Linked DNA regions of Cricetulus griseus. The protein of the gene in region 2 binds, or shares a complex with, the protein of the main gene of each other region. Links are inferred from orthologs where the notes say so. Each region holds a gene or a part of one and is shown on either strand. Other genes may lie near its edges. The genes, in order: Ddx19b, Gle1 and Nup42.

Region 1 (4,079 bases), on a different chromosome or scaffold from region 2:
TTTATCAAGTAAGTAAGGGGATGGCCAAGAAGACTCAGAGGGTAGACATCTGCCACCACACCTGAAGACTTGAGTTCAATCCTCAGGACCTACATGGTACAAGGAAAGAAGCAATTCCACCAGTTGTCTTCTGGCTCCCATATTCGTGCTATGGCAAGACCTCCCCTCCCCACCACACATACACACACACACACACACACACACACACACACACACACACACACACACACACACACAAAGCCAGATACATGTAATTTTAAAAATTTAAAGAGCTAGTCATGGTGGCATATGCCTTTAGTCCCAGCCCTTGTGAGGCAGAAGCAGGTGAATCTCTGTAAGTTCAAAGCCAACCTAGCATAAATAGTGAGTTCCAGGACAACCAGGGCTATGTAGAGAGACCCAGTCTCAAAAAAAAAAAAAAAAAAAAAAAAAAGTACTTAGGAAATAATAATATAAATACAGAAAGTCCATTTAATTAAAAGATAACATTTTAATCAAAACTGGGATCTTGGCCTGGTAGCTCAAACCTGTAATCCTCAAACTGGGGGAAACTGAGGTAGAAGGACTGCTGAAAATTAAATTCCAGGGGAGGGGGTGGCTCAGAGGTTAAGAGCACTGGCTGCTTTTCCAGAGGTCCTGAGTTCAATTCCCAGCAACCACATGGTAACTCCCAGCCATCTGTAATGAGATTTGGTATCCAAGCAGACATGCAGAGAGAACACTGTACACATAATAAATAAATATTTAAAAAAAAGAAGAAAATTAAATTCCAGTTGGGCTATATAGTGAGTTAAAGTTTGTAATATATGCTAACATACATAAAATTACATGCAATCAATAAAATTGTCTTAATTTTTTAAAAGAAGTGCAAAAATAAACCCCCAAGGCCCAAACTGTTCAATTAATGAATGGGCCAATAACCAAGTAGATAATCCCCCCCACAAAAAAAGAAAAGAAAAAGAAATATGAGGCTGGGAATGTAGCTCAGTTGGTAGAGTGCTTGCCTACCACACAGGAAACTCTTAAGTTCAGTTCCACAAACTGCATGAACTGTGCATGACAACTATGCATTCCTGTAACCCCAGCACTTGGGAAATGTTAACCAGATCAGTTAATGAAGCCAATACAGAAATCAGTACAGACATTAACAAAACAAAACTGATAATAGAACATGATCCAGCTATACCACTCTTGTGTATTCAAAGGATGAAAGACAAAGTCAACATACTACAGAGATACTTACACATCTGTATTTATAGCTACACAGCCAGGAAATGGAACTAGCCTAGAAGTCCATTCATAGATGAATAGATAAAGCAAATGTGGTATACAAAGTGGAATTTTATGGAACTATAGAGAAAAGTGAACTCATGTTACCTGCACAAAATGAGTACAACTGGAAATCATTATGTTAAGCAAAATAAACCAGACCAAGGAAAACAAACACATGTTTTTGCTCATAATGCAAAATTATATATATTGGTGTTTGTACACCTATTTATCTGTGTATTTATAGGTCACAAAACTAGAAAGGAGGTCATGAGGGAGGAGGAAGAGGTCTTATGGTAGGTGGGAAATAAAGTTAACAGGAAAGCAGGAGGGAGGCTACACAGGTGAAGAAAGGGAACCCAGCTGGAGGGAAGCCACCCGAGGGAGAGTAAGGGAAGGACAAAGAATCATACACATATGTATAAAGATGCTATGGTGAAACCTAGCACTTTGTATATTAATTTTTAAAAAGGCTACAGAGAAACCATGTCTCAAGGAAAAAAAAGAAAAAGAAAAAAGAACACTTTTCTCAAACAGGGCACAGTGATGCAGGCCTGTGATCCTAGCACTCAGGACATAAGAGACAGAGGATCAGGAGTTCCAGTCAGTCAGTCATTCATACATACATACATACATACATACATACATACATACATACATTCATTCAAGGTCCTCTGTCTCAGAAAAGAAAAAATTAAAAATACCCAAATAAGTGAACAAAGTCCAAAACACTACTTCTCTTTAAACCATGTGGGTAAATAATTATATTACTATATATATTATAATAAAAGTTTTAAGCTAAACTAAATATTTTTTCTTTCAGGGTGGCCTTCAACTTGAGGCAATCTTCCTGCCTATGCCTCTAAGAGATATGATGAGAGGTGCCAGATCATGCCAGGCTGAAACCTTTACTCTTTACTAAAAAAAAGTTAAATCGGACAAATACTTATTCTTGGAAAATACACAGATATATGTACTGAGAGTCACATTCAAATCTCTACTAAATTTCAGAATGTTTGTAAATTACTTGTACATAGCAATATTTAACTCACGTCTTGCTACAATGTATCAGGCTAAGAAAAAGAGCTAATCAAGAGAGGATTTACTGCCAAACCAGTCAATCATCCAGCACCAATAACCCAGTGGGAGGAGTTATAAATGAGTAAGACATGGTCCGTGAGCCCAAGAAACTTGTATCTGAAGCTACATAAAAATTGCCATCCGAGGTTGTGAGTGCAATCGATTATCAACCCTGATTCCAGGAAGACAGGCAGATGGCTGGATCACCCAAATTGAGTTTATACAACGTGGGAGGGGCTGGGTAAGCAAAGCCAGCTTTGGGGCCAAGTCCCATTCCCGCCAGGCTCCTCCGCCCTGCACCGAGCAACCTAAACAGTGTCTTTCCAAGAGACCGCGATCCTGACCGGCACTGGTCCCATGGTCCTCCAGCGGCTGGTGACAACTCACCGACTCAGCCGCGGCTTCCTGTTCGTCCACCGCTAGGGCCCATGAATCCGTGGCCATGGTCCCCAGTGCCGGGGCAGTGCTGACAGGCTCGCCCGATTAGGCGGCGCGGCCGTGGGCTCAGGTGGGTCGCGGCGAGGCCCAGCTCCGCCCCGGGGGAAATCATTCACTGAGGCGCAGACGACCGGAAGCGGCGCACCGCGGTGTCGTCAGAGCCCGCGTCAGCTCTGCGCCCCTAAAGTCCTGGCAACTCTAAGGTAGTCTTCAGGTCCCCGCCTCTACCACTTCGCTGCAGATTGCCCTACTACCCAACTGAGGTAGCCTAGACTAAATGCTCTCTGACTAAAGGAGGGAAATCACCTTCACACCCAGCATGGTGGTATAGAGGGGCTCATATAACTATTACATTCAGAATACATAAGCAAGCAAATAGCTGTTTTAACTTTTCAGGTTATTTAAAATGCCTCAGCTTACTTAGTGTCTGTTCTTATCAATTTAATAAGATTTCTAAGTATTGGCAATCAGTCCTGTGAAACAAAGATCTGTCCCAAATTGAGTTTTGAAAACACCAAATTCTTGATAAATTGAAAATTTTGGTAAAATATCAGAAACCAGAAAGAGTAAGTCAGTTTATCCAACCAATCCAATTCAATCCCTGGTGGCAAGAGCCATTTAATAAGGAAATATATGGATTTTGGAATCATCTATGCCTTCTTCGGATGGCCAGCTCTCCTCTCCTATGTAAAGGCTGTGTAGCTGGAGTTTTATTTATTTCGTTTTGGATAATTACAAAAAAAACTTGCTTATTTTATGTGTATGAGTGTTTTGCTTGCATGCCTTTGTGCACTATATGTGTATCTGGAGCCCAGAAAAGTCAGAAGAGGGCATTGGATACCCAGAAGTGGAGTTATGGATAGTTGTGAACTATCATGTTGGTGTTGGGAATTGAACCCAGGTCCTCTGCAAGAGCAGCAAGCACCCTTAACCTCTAAGCCATCTCTTCAGCCTTAGTTTTGGATAATTTTTATTTTATTTTGGTTTGGTTTTTTGAGGCAGGGTTTCTCTGTGTAGCTTTGGAGCCCTGGATAATCTTTAAGAGGAGGAAATAGCTCTAGTTTTTAGAATAGTAAAATAAGGACTGAAATACTTGCTTTCCCCTAACTGGGATCAAATAGGCCTTTATCCCTGGCTACTTCTTGGAAGGAATTGGAGAATTTTCTTGGAACTTTATGAAAACATTTTACTAATATTACATGACAAATTAATGTCAAGCAATGGTGAGTACGTAAGGATGGTGCAGGCAGAGGACAACCAAGCACAGGCTGGGAGCCATGACCATATTGCGA
Region 2 (3,615 bases):
TGTTTTGTATTGTTTTGTTTTTTCAAGACAGGGTTTCTCTATGACTTTGGAGGCTGTCCTGGAACTCCATCTGTAGATCAGCCTGGCCTCGAACTCACAGAGATCTGCCTGCCTCTGCCTCTGCCTCTTGAGTGCTGGGATTAAAGGCATGCGCCACCAACACTCGACTGCAAAAGTTCTCTGACTTTCATGATTACATCTGTAAGCCCACAAGCACACACACACACACAGTGTAATCTTTTACCAAAAACAAAAGATGAAATAGAATTTTGAATACTTATGAATCACCACTAATAGATGTTTTACAAATTACAGCTTTTTATTTGTTACTGAGGCAATACAGCCCAGGCTGACCTCAAACTCAATGCCTCCTTTTAACTTGTTTTGCTGGATCAAAGACCTGCACCCAGCTCTAATCAGCATGTTTAACTAGCATATTGTTGTAACTCCCACCACCTACCTTTGTTTTTGTTCTTTTTGACTGTGTGTGTGTGTGTGTGTGTGTGTGTGTGTGTGTGTGTGTGTGTTTGTGTGTTTCCATGGAGGTTAGTAGTGGACCTGGAGTTCTATGTGGTTGTGAGCCACCTGACAAAGTTGCCAGGAACCAAACCCAGATGATCTGCAAGATTAGCAAGTGCTCTTAACCGCTGAACCATTTCTGTAGCCGCCTGTTTTTTGTTTTGTTTTGTTTTTGTTTTGTTGTTTGTGAGAGGATCTTACGATATAGTCTACATGGCTTCGAACTTAAGGCATTGTTCCTCCTACATCAGCCTTTTGAGTGCTAGGATTACTGGCATATGCACCATATACTTGGTTTTGTCACAAACTTTTTTTTAAAAAGATTGCTCTGGTTGGGTGGTGGTGGCACATGCCTTTAATCCCAGCACTTGGGAGGCAGAGGCAGGTGGATCTCTGTGAGTTCGATGTCAGCTTGGTTTATGGAGTAAGTTCTAGGACAGGCTCCAAAACTACACAGAGAAACCCTGTTTTGAACCACGCCCCAAAAAAAAGAAAGAAAAAAGAAAAAAGGTTGCTCCATTGTTGGTTGCTATGGATGTGATTAGGATAAACCTTTTGTTGTAGTTGTGTGCGTGTGTGCCCGCACACATGTGTGGAAGTCAGAGGACAATTGTGTGGGGTCAGTTCTCTCTTATTGTTGTGGAGGTTCCAGGTATTAAATTCTGTCAGAGTTGCTAAGCAAGTACCTTTACCTACTGAACTATCTCAATGGCAATTTTTTTTTTTTTTTTTTTTTTTTTTTGACGCAGTCTCACTGTGTAGCCCTGGCTTGTCTCAGAGTTGTAGCAATCTTCCTGCCTCTATCTCTCAGGTGCTAAGATCACAGACATGAGTCACCACTCGCAGCTCTATGATAGTAAATCTTTAAGAGAACAGAAAAAGAGTAGGTATCAATATTTGATCATGTATATACCTTGGTCCAACAGTTTTACTTCAGCAATGTATTGTGTGGTGTGAGTTAGCCCCACAATGGTACCTAGGAAATGAATGTTAAATATTGTCTCTCACTTTGACAGAGTGGTTATCCCACAGCAGAGAACCAAGCTGAGGCTGAGAAAACCCTGCAGGAAATGCGGGACCTCCTCTCAAATTTGGAGCAGGAAATCACCAGAGCCTATGAAGTCAAGAAGAAGCAGGATGAAGAGGAGGCCCGGGCCAAGATGCAAGAATCACAGGTGCAGCAAGGTTCAGGGGCTCCCACCCAGCCCCCAGTGCACAGTCCAGGCCCAGCAGTGACACAGAATGAAGGTAAGTGTGAATGCAGTCCTTCAACTGTTTAAGTGTCAGGATATTTAAGGCAAAACAAACATATGTGTGAGAGACAGAGACAGAGACAACAGAGACACAGACTGAGAGAGACAGAGGGAGAATGTGTTACACTACAGAATGGCCCAGTTCATCAGAATTTTTACATAATGTGTTTTAGTTGATCTGGAACCAATTTCAGATTCTAGCACTTTCCACAGGGACATTAAAAGGCTGTTTATGTCTAATGGGTATGTTATTCCAAATATTGCTACTGCTACGTATTTTATTTTAAAAGAATTGCTTGTAGCTGGAGAGATGGCTCAGAGGTTAAGAGCACCACCTGAGTTTCAGTCATGGCAACCACATGGCAACCCACAACCATCTGTAATGAGATCTGGTTTATATTAAGTATTATGTACAGAGAACCTTGTTTAATATGTTTGAGGATCACATAGCAATGTGTTTAGCCAGACAGTGGAATCTGTTTCTACTTGTATATCAGTTTGACCTTAGCAAACAACCTTTTTGTGTCTGTGTCTTTACTCATTAAATGGAAATAGTAGAAGTCTCTACTTCATAGTTGATTGTGACCACTAAAACAGCCAATGCATAGTGCGGTGCATAGAATAGTCAAAGCTTATGTGGCATGTTAAGTAAGCTCACTGCCATTAAGGCCTGTCTTATTCTCAGACCTGCAGGTGAAGGTACAAGATAGTACCATGCAGTGGTATCAGCAACTTCAGGATGCTTCTGCCAAATGTGTGTTGGCCTTTGAGGGCCTGACCAGCAGCAAGGACAGTCAGGTAGGGGAGAGTTGGATGGCAACAATTCTTGTGGTATGCCCCACAGCCTGAGCCCCACAGCCTGACATTCTAAAAGAATGTACTTATGTCATGTTCCTTCATCCTAAAGGCATGGGCTCAGCTACTTAAAACCATCTGTCATGTCACCATTCTCTTTTGGCAGGCTAAAAAGATAAAGATGGACTTGCAGAAGGCAGCCACCATCCCAGTGAGCCAGATCTCCACCATTGCAGGTGGGTCAATGGTTCACTTCGTTTCATTTTTGCAAACTGATTGCTTTGAGGTTGTTATACAAAGTGTGTTTTCAGGGCTTGGGATGTGGCTTAGTGGCAGAGTACTTGCCAAGTATGAGCAAGGGCCTGGGACCAATCTCTACTAACACACACACACACACACACACACACACACACACACACACACACACGCACAGTTCAAATTTGTGTTGGTTGCACACATTTTTTTTCTCTTCAAACAGAAGATTGATGTGATGAGTCCAGTAGTGCAGGTCTGTAATCCCAGCTGGTTGAGGGAAGGCCAGAGGATCATAAATTCAAGAACAACCTGTATGAAGTGTAATGCACTAAGAACTTATCTCAAAAGGAGAAAGTCCGGAGACACTGGGGATGCAACTAGTAGAACACTCAGGCCTGTACTAGGCCTAAGGCAATACTCAGTAGCATAGAAAGAAAAAAATAAATATTTATTGTCTCTCTTTGGAGGGGTTCAAATGATTTTATTGAGAAGCTGGGAGGTGGGGGAGCTAGGTAGGCTCATTTATTTATTTGTATTTGTTTGTTTTAGTTTTTTGAGACATGATTTCTTTATGTAGCCTTGGCTGTCCTGGAACTAGCCTGTAGACCAGGCTTGCCTTGAACTCATGGAGATTCGATCTTTTTATTTTTTTTATGGTGTTGGGGGTTGAACACCACTGAGCTACTGATTCTAATTTGTTTGTTTTATTGAGTTAGTGGGCTAGCTCAGACTGTGTATCCCAGGCTGTCCATGAATCCATCTTAGCTGATGGGTGTTCTTGATTTAAGACATG
Region 3 (4,139 bases), on a different chromosome or scaffold from region 2:
AACGTTACTGGAAGCATCCTCAAAGACATGCCCAGAGGTAAATCTGTGGGGATTTTAAATATAACATCTTGGAAGTCCAGAGATGTGTGTCTATGGTGATACTAAATGTAATCAACTCGACAAGATTAACCATCACAAGTGTTACGCTTACTGATTAGAATTTTGCTTGACATCTTTCCATCCTCTGGCATAACTAAGATGTAAAATGAGACTAAAGATGTACTTAGGAGTCCCTGAGCTGTCTCCAACTCAGTTTGTCCCCACTATCCAATTTTAATTTCCAAGAGCACTTCCATTTTTCTTTAAGAAGGAGCAAGCTACCACCACACTTTACCTCGGCATCTCAGCTTCTCTCCCTGCTACATCTTGTTTCTGTCCAGCTATCTCATTTCCTGTCTGTCTGTACAGACCTCCAGACCTCTATGGTTAGCTAGTGACAAGCTCCAGTCTCTGACCTTCAGAAAGGCTTTATTTGTACAAGCAAGCTATCACCACACTTATATAGTATACTTATACAGGATCCTGTTTGAGAACTGCGAATACATGGAATGTGCCGTGTGTGTGTGTGTGTGTGTGTGTGTGTGTGTGTGTGTGTGTGTGTGTGTGTGTGTGTGTGTGTGTTTATAGCACTTAGAAGCCAATAGGTGGGTCTCTGTTTTCAAGGCCAGCCAGGGCTACATAGTAAGACTATCTCAAAAAAAGGGGGGGGGGGGAGTCGGAGGAGGAAGAAATGGAATGTTTACAAAAATCCCTATCTGAAGCTGTGTATCTGAGAAAAAAGTGCGCTGCTTCTGTGCCAGTTTTCCAGACAACCTTAATTCTTTTGATAAAATTTCAAAAGGCAATATTTACATGAAATTTTACGAACAAGATTTCTCAGTGTGCAGAAAGAAGACATTACCAGCTAAGGAGCTATTTATTACAATGCTTTTCGCCTGGGGTGCACCCTGTTTCCTAGTGACAGCTGACTTTCTCTGAGTCGCTCTCTTGTTTACCTTTTCTTGTCTAAATAAATGTTAAGAACGACTGGGCCTCGCAAACTGTAGACAACTAGAGCCTTGGTGGTTGTCGGCGACATCTGGTCCCCTCCAGATGAGGGCCCTGTTCCCAGGCTCAGCGCCCCTGGGCGGGACGGGTCTGCTCTTCTCAAATCCCATTGGCTGAAGTCCACGCCTCTCACCGCACCGGAGCCGGATCACAGAACCTCCGGACGCGGGGGGATGACGTCACATTGGCGACGGGGCTTGGGCTGCTGGAAACTGGGCTGTCCCTACCGACCTGAAGACCGACCGGGAGCTGGGCCGGCGCTGCAATGACCATTTGCCAGTTTTTCCTTCAAGGCCGGTGCCGCTTCGGAGACCGCTGCTGGAACGAGCATCCCGGCACGCGGGGCGCGGGCGGAGCCCGGCAGCCGCCACTGCAGCAGCAGCAGCAGCAGCCGCAGGCGGCGCCCTCAGGTGACCGTCCCGGAGAGCGAGCCGGGGTCCGGGCCAGGGTCCGGGCATGAGGACGCGTCCCAGCCCCGCCCGGGTAGTCCTTTCGGCTCACCAGACAGCCCGGGCTTTGCACCTGGGCGCCAGGGCCAACACTGCGCTTTCAATTAGGAGCACATCTTACCAAAACCACTTTGTTGACGCCGGGCAGTGATTGGGAGAATTCGCGTGGGTCCGTCCGGACCTCTGGCCCTGCTTCCCCCTCCCTTGTCCTTGATCGCATCCTCTTAAAATGTGGGCTTTCGTTGGTAGGGTGGGACGCTGGGCTAAGAACGTACAGGAAAGAGTATTCAAGGAACCAGGCATTAAACCAGCCGCACCACACAAGGTTTTAAAAGCCTGTTTAGTAGATTTATGAAAGCTGAACTCAGCATATATCTTTATTTTCCTATGGATTTCTAATCCTCTTGATCTTATTTTTAAATTTTTTTTTATTTTATGTACATTGGTATTTTGCCTACATGTGTATCTCTATGAGGCCAGGTGTGTTAGTGTATGACTCTAATCACAGCACTGTGGAGGCGTGACAGGCAGGTCTCTGAGTTCTAGACCAGCCAGGGCTACATAGTGAGGCCCTGTCTCAAACAAACAAACTCAGATCCCTGGAATCTGAATTACAGACAGTTGTGAGCTGCCATGTGGGTGCTGGGAAATGAACACAGGTCCTCTGAAAGCCAGTGCTCTTAACTGCTGAGCCTCTCTCCAGCCTATTGGTCTCATTTTTGTTATTTGTTGTTCGGTTTGGTTTGGTTTGGTTTTGGGTTTTTGGTTTGGTTTGTTTGTTTGAGATAGGGCCTCACTATGTAGCCCTGGCTGGTCTAGAACTCATAGAGATCTGCCTGTCACTCCTCCACAGTGCTGTGAATAGAGTCATACACTAACACACCTGGCCTTAATCTCATTTTTTAAATGCAATTAGAATATTACATGATTTGTTAGAACATGTAACAAACAAATCATAAAGGTATTGTCATTTAAAAGTGGTAGAAAATAGCACTTTATTAGTCTTTGTATAATTTCTGGACATAATGAGATAAAATATAGTGGGGATTTCCAAGATTTGAAAAAGTTACCAGTTTTGGGACTCTAATTTTCTTTATTATTTAGGAAGTAACAGGCGTGGGTGGAATGCCAACAGCCAGAGATACTCCAATGTCATCCAGCCATCCAGCTTCTCCAAGTCTACACCATGGGGTGGCAGCAGAGATCAAGACAAACCATTTTTCGGCTCTTTTGACTCTGGGCCTTCCACGAGCAGAGGCTTTGGATCGCCGCCTCAAAATCCTTTTGCTTCACCTGTCTCTGATGAGCAGAAAGATGAAAAGAAACTTCTGTAAGTTAAAGTTTTGTAGAAAGTCACTACCCAGTTGCTTGGTTGTTCCAGAAGCACTTAGTGTTTTCTTTGAAAAAGACTAATTTTGAAAATCAGAGTAAGCAGAACTATTTTTTCAAAGGTTAGTCATTGTCCTCTGCAGTCTTTAGAGTGCTGGGTAACTCAGAACAACTGTAATCCTGTAGATACTGATAATAGCACTTACTTTCTTTGTAAATCCTTTATTTCAGTTACCCTATTTGAAGTTCCATAAATAGTGGATTTTCAGTTTTTGGTTTTTGTTTGTTTGTTTATTTTGGTTTTTGGTGGGGAGAAGGGGATATTTTGTTTTAAGACAGGGTCTCCTTGTGTAGCCCTGACTGGCTCAGAACTCACAGAGATCTTATTATCTGTGCCTCCAGAACGCCCAGCTGCTGAATATCGAACCTAAATTTTCAAGTGTATTGATCAAGCATCAAGTGTGTGTGTGTAAAGAAAGCAAAGTTGTGTTTATTGTGATTCTAACTGTAATAACATATTCTTTGTGACACCTATCAGTTTACTAATGGTCATATTCTAGATGGAAAGAAACTTTAATTTAGAGCCAACTCCATCCACAGCTTTGTTTCAGATTAACTGTTCAGTGCATGGACCTGGGGGCTGGTGAGGTTGCGGGGGAGGTCACAGGTTAAGAGAATTAACTGTTCCTCCAGAGGGCCTGGGTTCAATTCCCAGCACCCACATGGCAGCTCACAACTGTCTGTAACTCCACGATCTGACACCTTCACACAGACATACGTGTAGGCAAAACACCAATGCACATAAAAAAAAAATTTTAATACTTTAAAATTGTATTTCTGATACTGTGTTGTATTTAGTTCTTTAAAAAATATTATATTTCAGATTATTCTTAACTATTATTAGGCATTCTGTGAATTAGAAAGCAACACTATTACTTATTATAGATTATTTATAACTACAAAATACAAGGTGTTGTTTTAGAAGCAAGTTCTCGGGGCTGGAGAGATGACTCAGCGGTTAAGAGCACCGACTGCTCTTCCAGAGGTCCTGAGTTCAATTCCCAGCAACCACATGGTGGCTCACAACCATCGATTATAAAATCTTGTGCCCTCTTCTGGTGTGCAGATATACATGGAAGCAGAATGTTGTATACATAATAAATAAATAAAATCTTTAAAAAGAAAAAAAAGGAAACAAGCTCTCAATGTGCTGATTGGCCTTAAACTCTGTGTGATACCCTGCAAGCCCTCAGAATCCTCCTCGGCCAATCCTGGTGCTGGAATTGCTGTGCTCCACCACACTCAGGTTATAAT

What was found.
Region 1: the proteins of Gle1 (region 2) and Ddx19b are in contact, whole or in part, in a crystal structure (PDB 6B4J), measured with the Homo sapiens proteins. The link is inferred for Cricetulus griseus from reciprocal best matches to the Homo sapiens genes GLE1 and DDX19B. Residues at the interface, in NP_001003722.1 of Homo sapiens: Lys416, Lys419, Met420, Gln423, Lys424, Thr427, Ile428, Ser431, Gln432, Ile433, Ser434, Thr435, Ile436, Lys440, Gln458, Ser459, Gly460, Lys479, Lys483, Lys486, Gln487, Glu490, Glu491, Ser494, His495, Gln554, Gln562, Asn565; in NP_009173.1 of Homo sapiens: Cys325, Asn326, Tyr328, Gly329, Ala330, Ile331, Thr332, Ile333, Ala334, Glu356, Gly357, His358, Gln359, Arg378, Arg380, Glu381, Gly382, Lys383, Glu384, Lys385, Glu400, Gln401, Ser403, Phe433, Gly434, Lys435, Arg436, Asp469, Asp470, Leu471.
Region 3: the proteins of Gle1 (region 2) and Nup42 are in contact, whole or in part, in a crystal structure (PDB 6B4I), measured with the Homo sapiens proteins. The link is inferred for Cricetulus griseus from reciprocal best matches to the Homo sapiens genes GLE1 and NUP42. Residues at the interface, in NP_001003722.1 of Homo sapiens: Ile385, Ile593, Leu598, Asn599, Trp602, Arg603, Ala606, Gln607, Leu609, Asn610, Gln636, Tyr637, Gln638, Val639, Gln640, Lys643, Met644, Ile646, Leu647, Glu650, Asp651, Tyr652; in NP_001357375.1 of Homo sapiens: Asp185, Asn186, Val187, Leu188, Phe189, Gln202, Phe203, Gln204, Ser205, Lys206, Lys207, Phe208, Leu210, Gly211, Lys212, Ile213, Pro214, Leu215, Lys216, Pro217, Pro218, Leu222, Leu223, Asn224, Val225.

What each region holds. Positions count from the first base shown.
Region 1 is NC_048596.1:187,430,947-187,435,025, forward strand, and holds the start of Ddx19b (ATP-dependent RNA helicase DDX19B), read right to left. Parts: upstream 2,891-4,079; 5' UTR 2,794-2,890; coding exon 2,737-2,793; intron 1-2,736. UniProt on the Homo sapiens protein: ATP-dependent RNA helicase involved in mRNA export from the nucleus.
Region 2 is NC_048599.1:141,609,828-141,613,442, forward strand, and holds part of Gle1 (nucleoporin GLE1), read left to right. Parts: intron 1-1,535; coding exon 1,536-1,767; intron 1,768-2,457; coding exon 2,458-2,570; intron 2,571-2,733; coding exon 2,734-2,803; intron 2,804-3,615. UniProt on the Homo sapiens protein: Required for the export of mRNAs containing poly(A) tails from the nucleus into the cytoplasm. May be involved in the terminal step of the mRNA transport through the nuclear pore complex (NPC).
Region 3 is NC_048601.1:92,376,163-92,380,301, reverse strand, and holds the start of Nup42 (nucleoporin NUP42), read left to right. Parts: upstream 1-1,224; 5' UTR 1,225-1,312; coding exon 1,313-1,457; intron 1,458-2,600; coding exon 2,601-2,826; intron 2,827-4,139.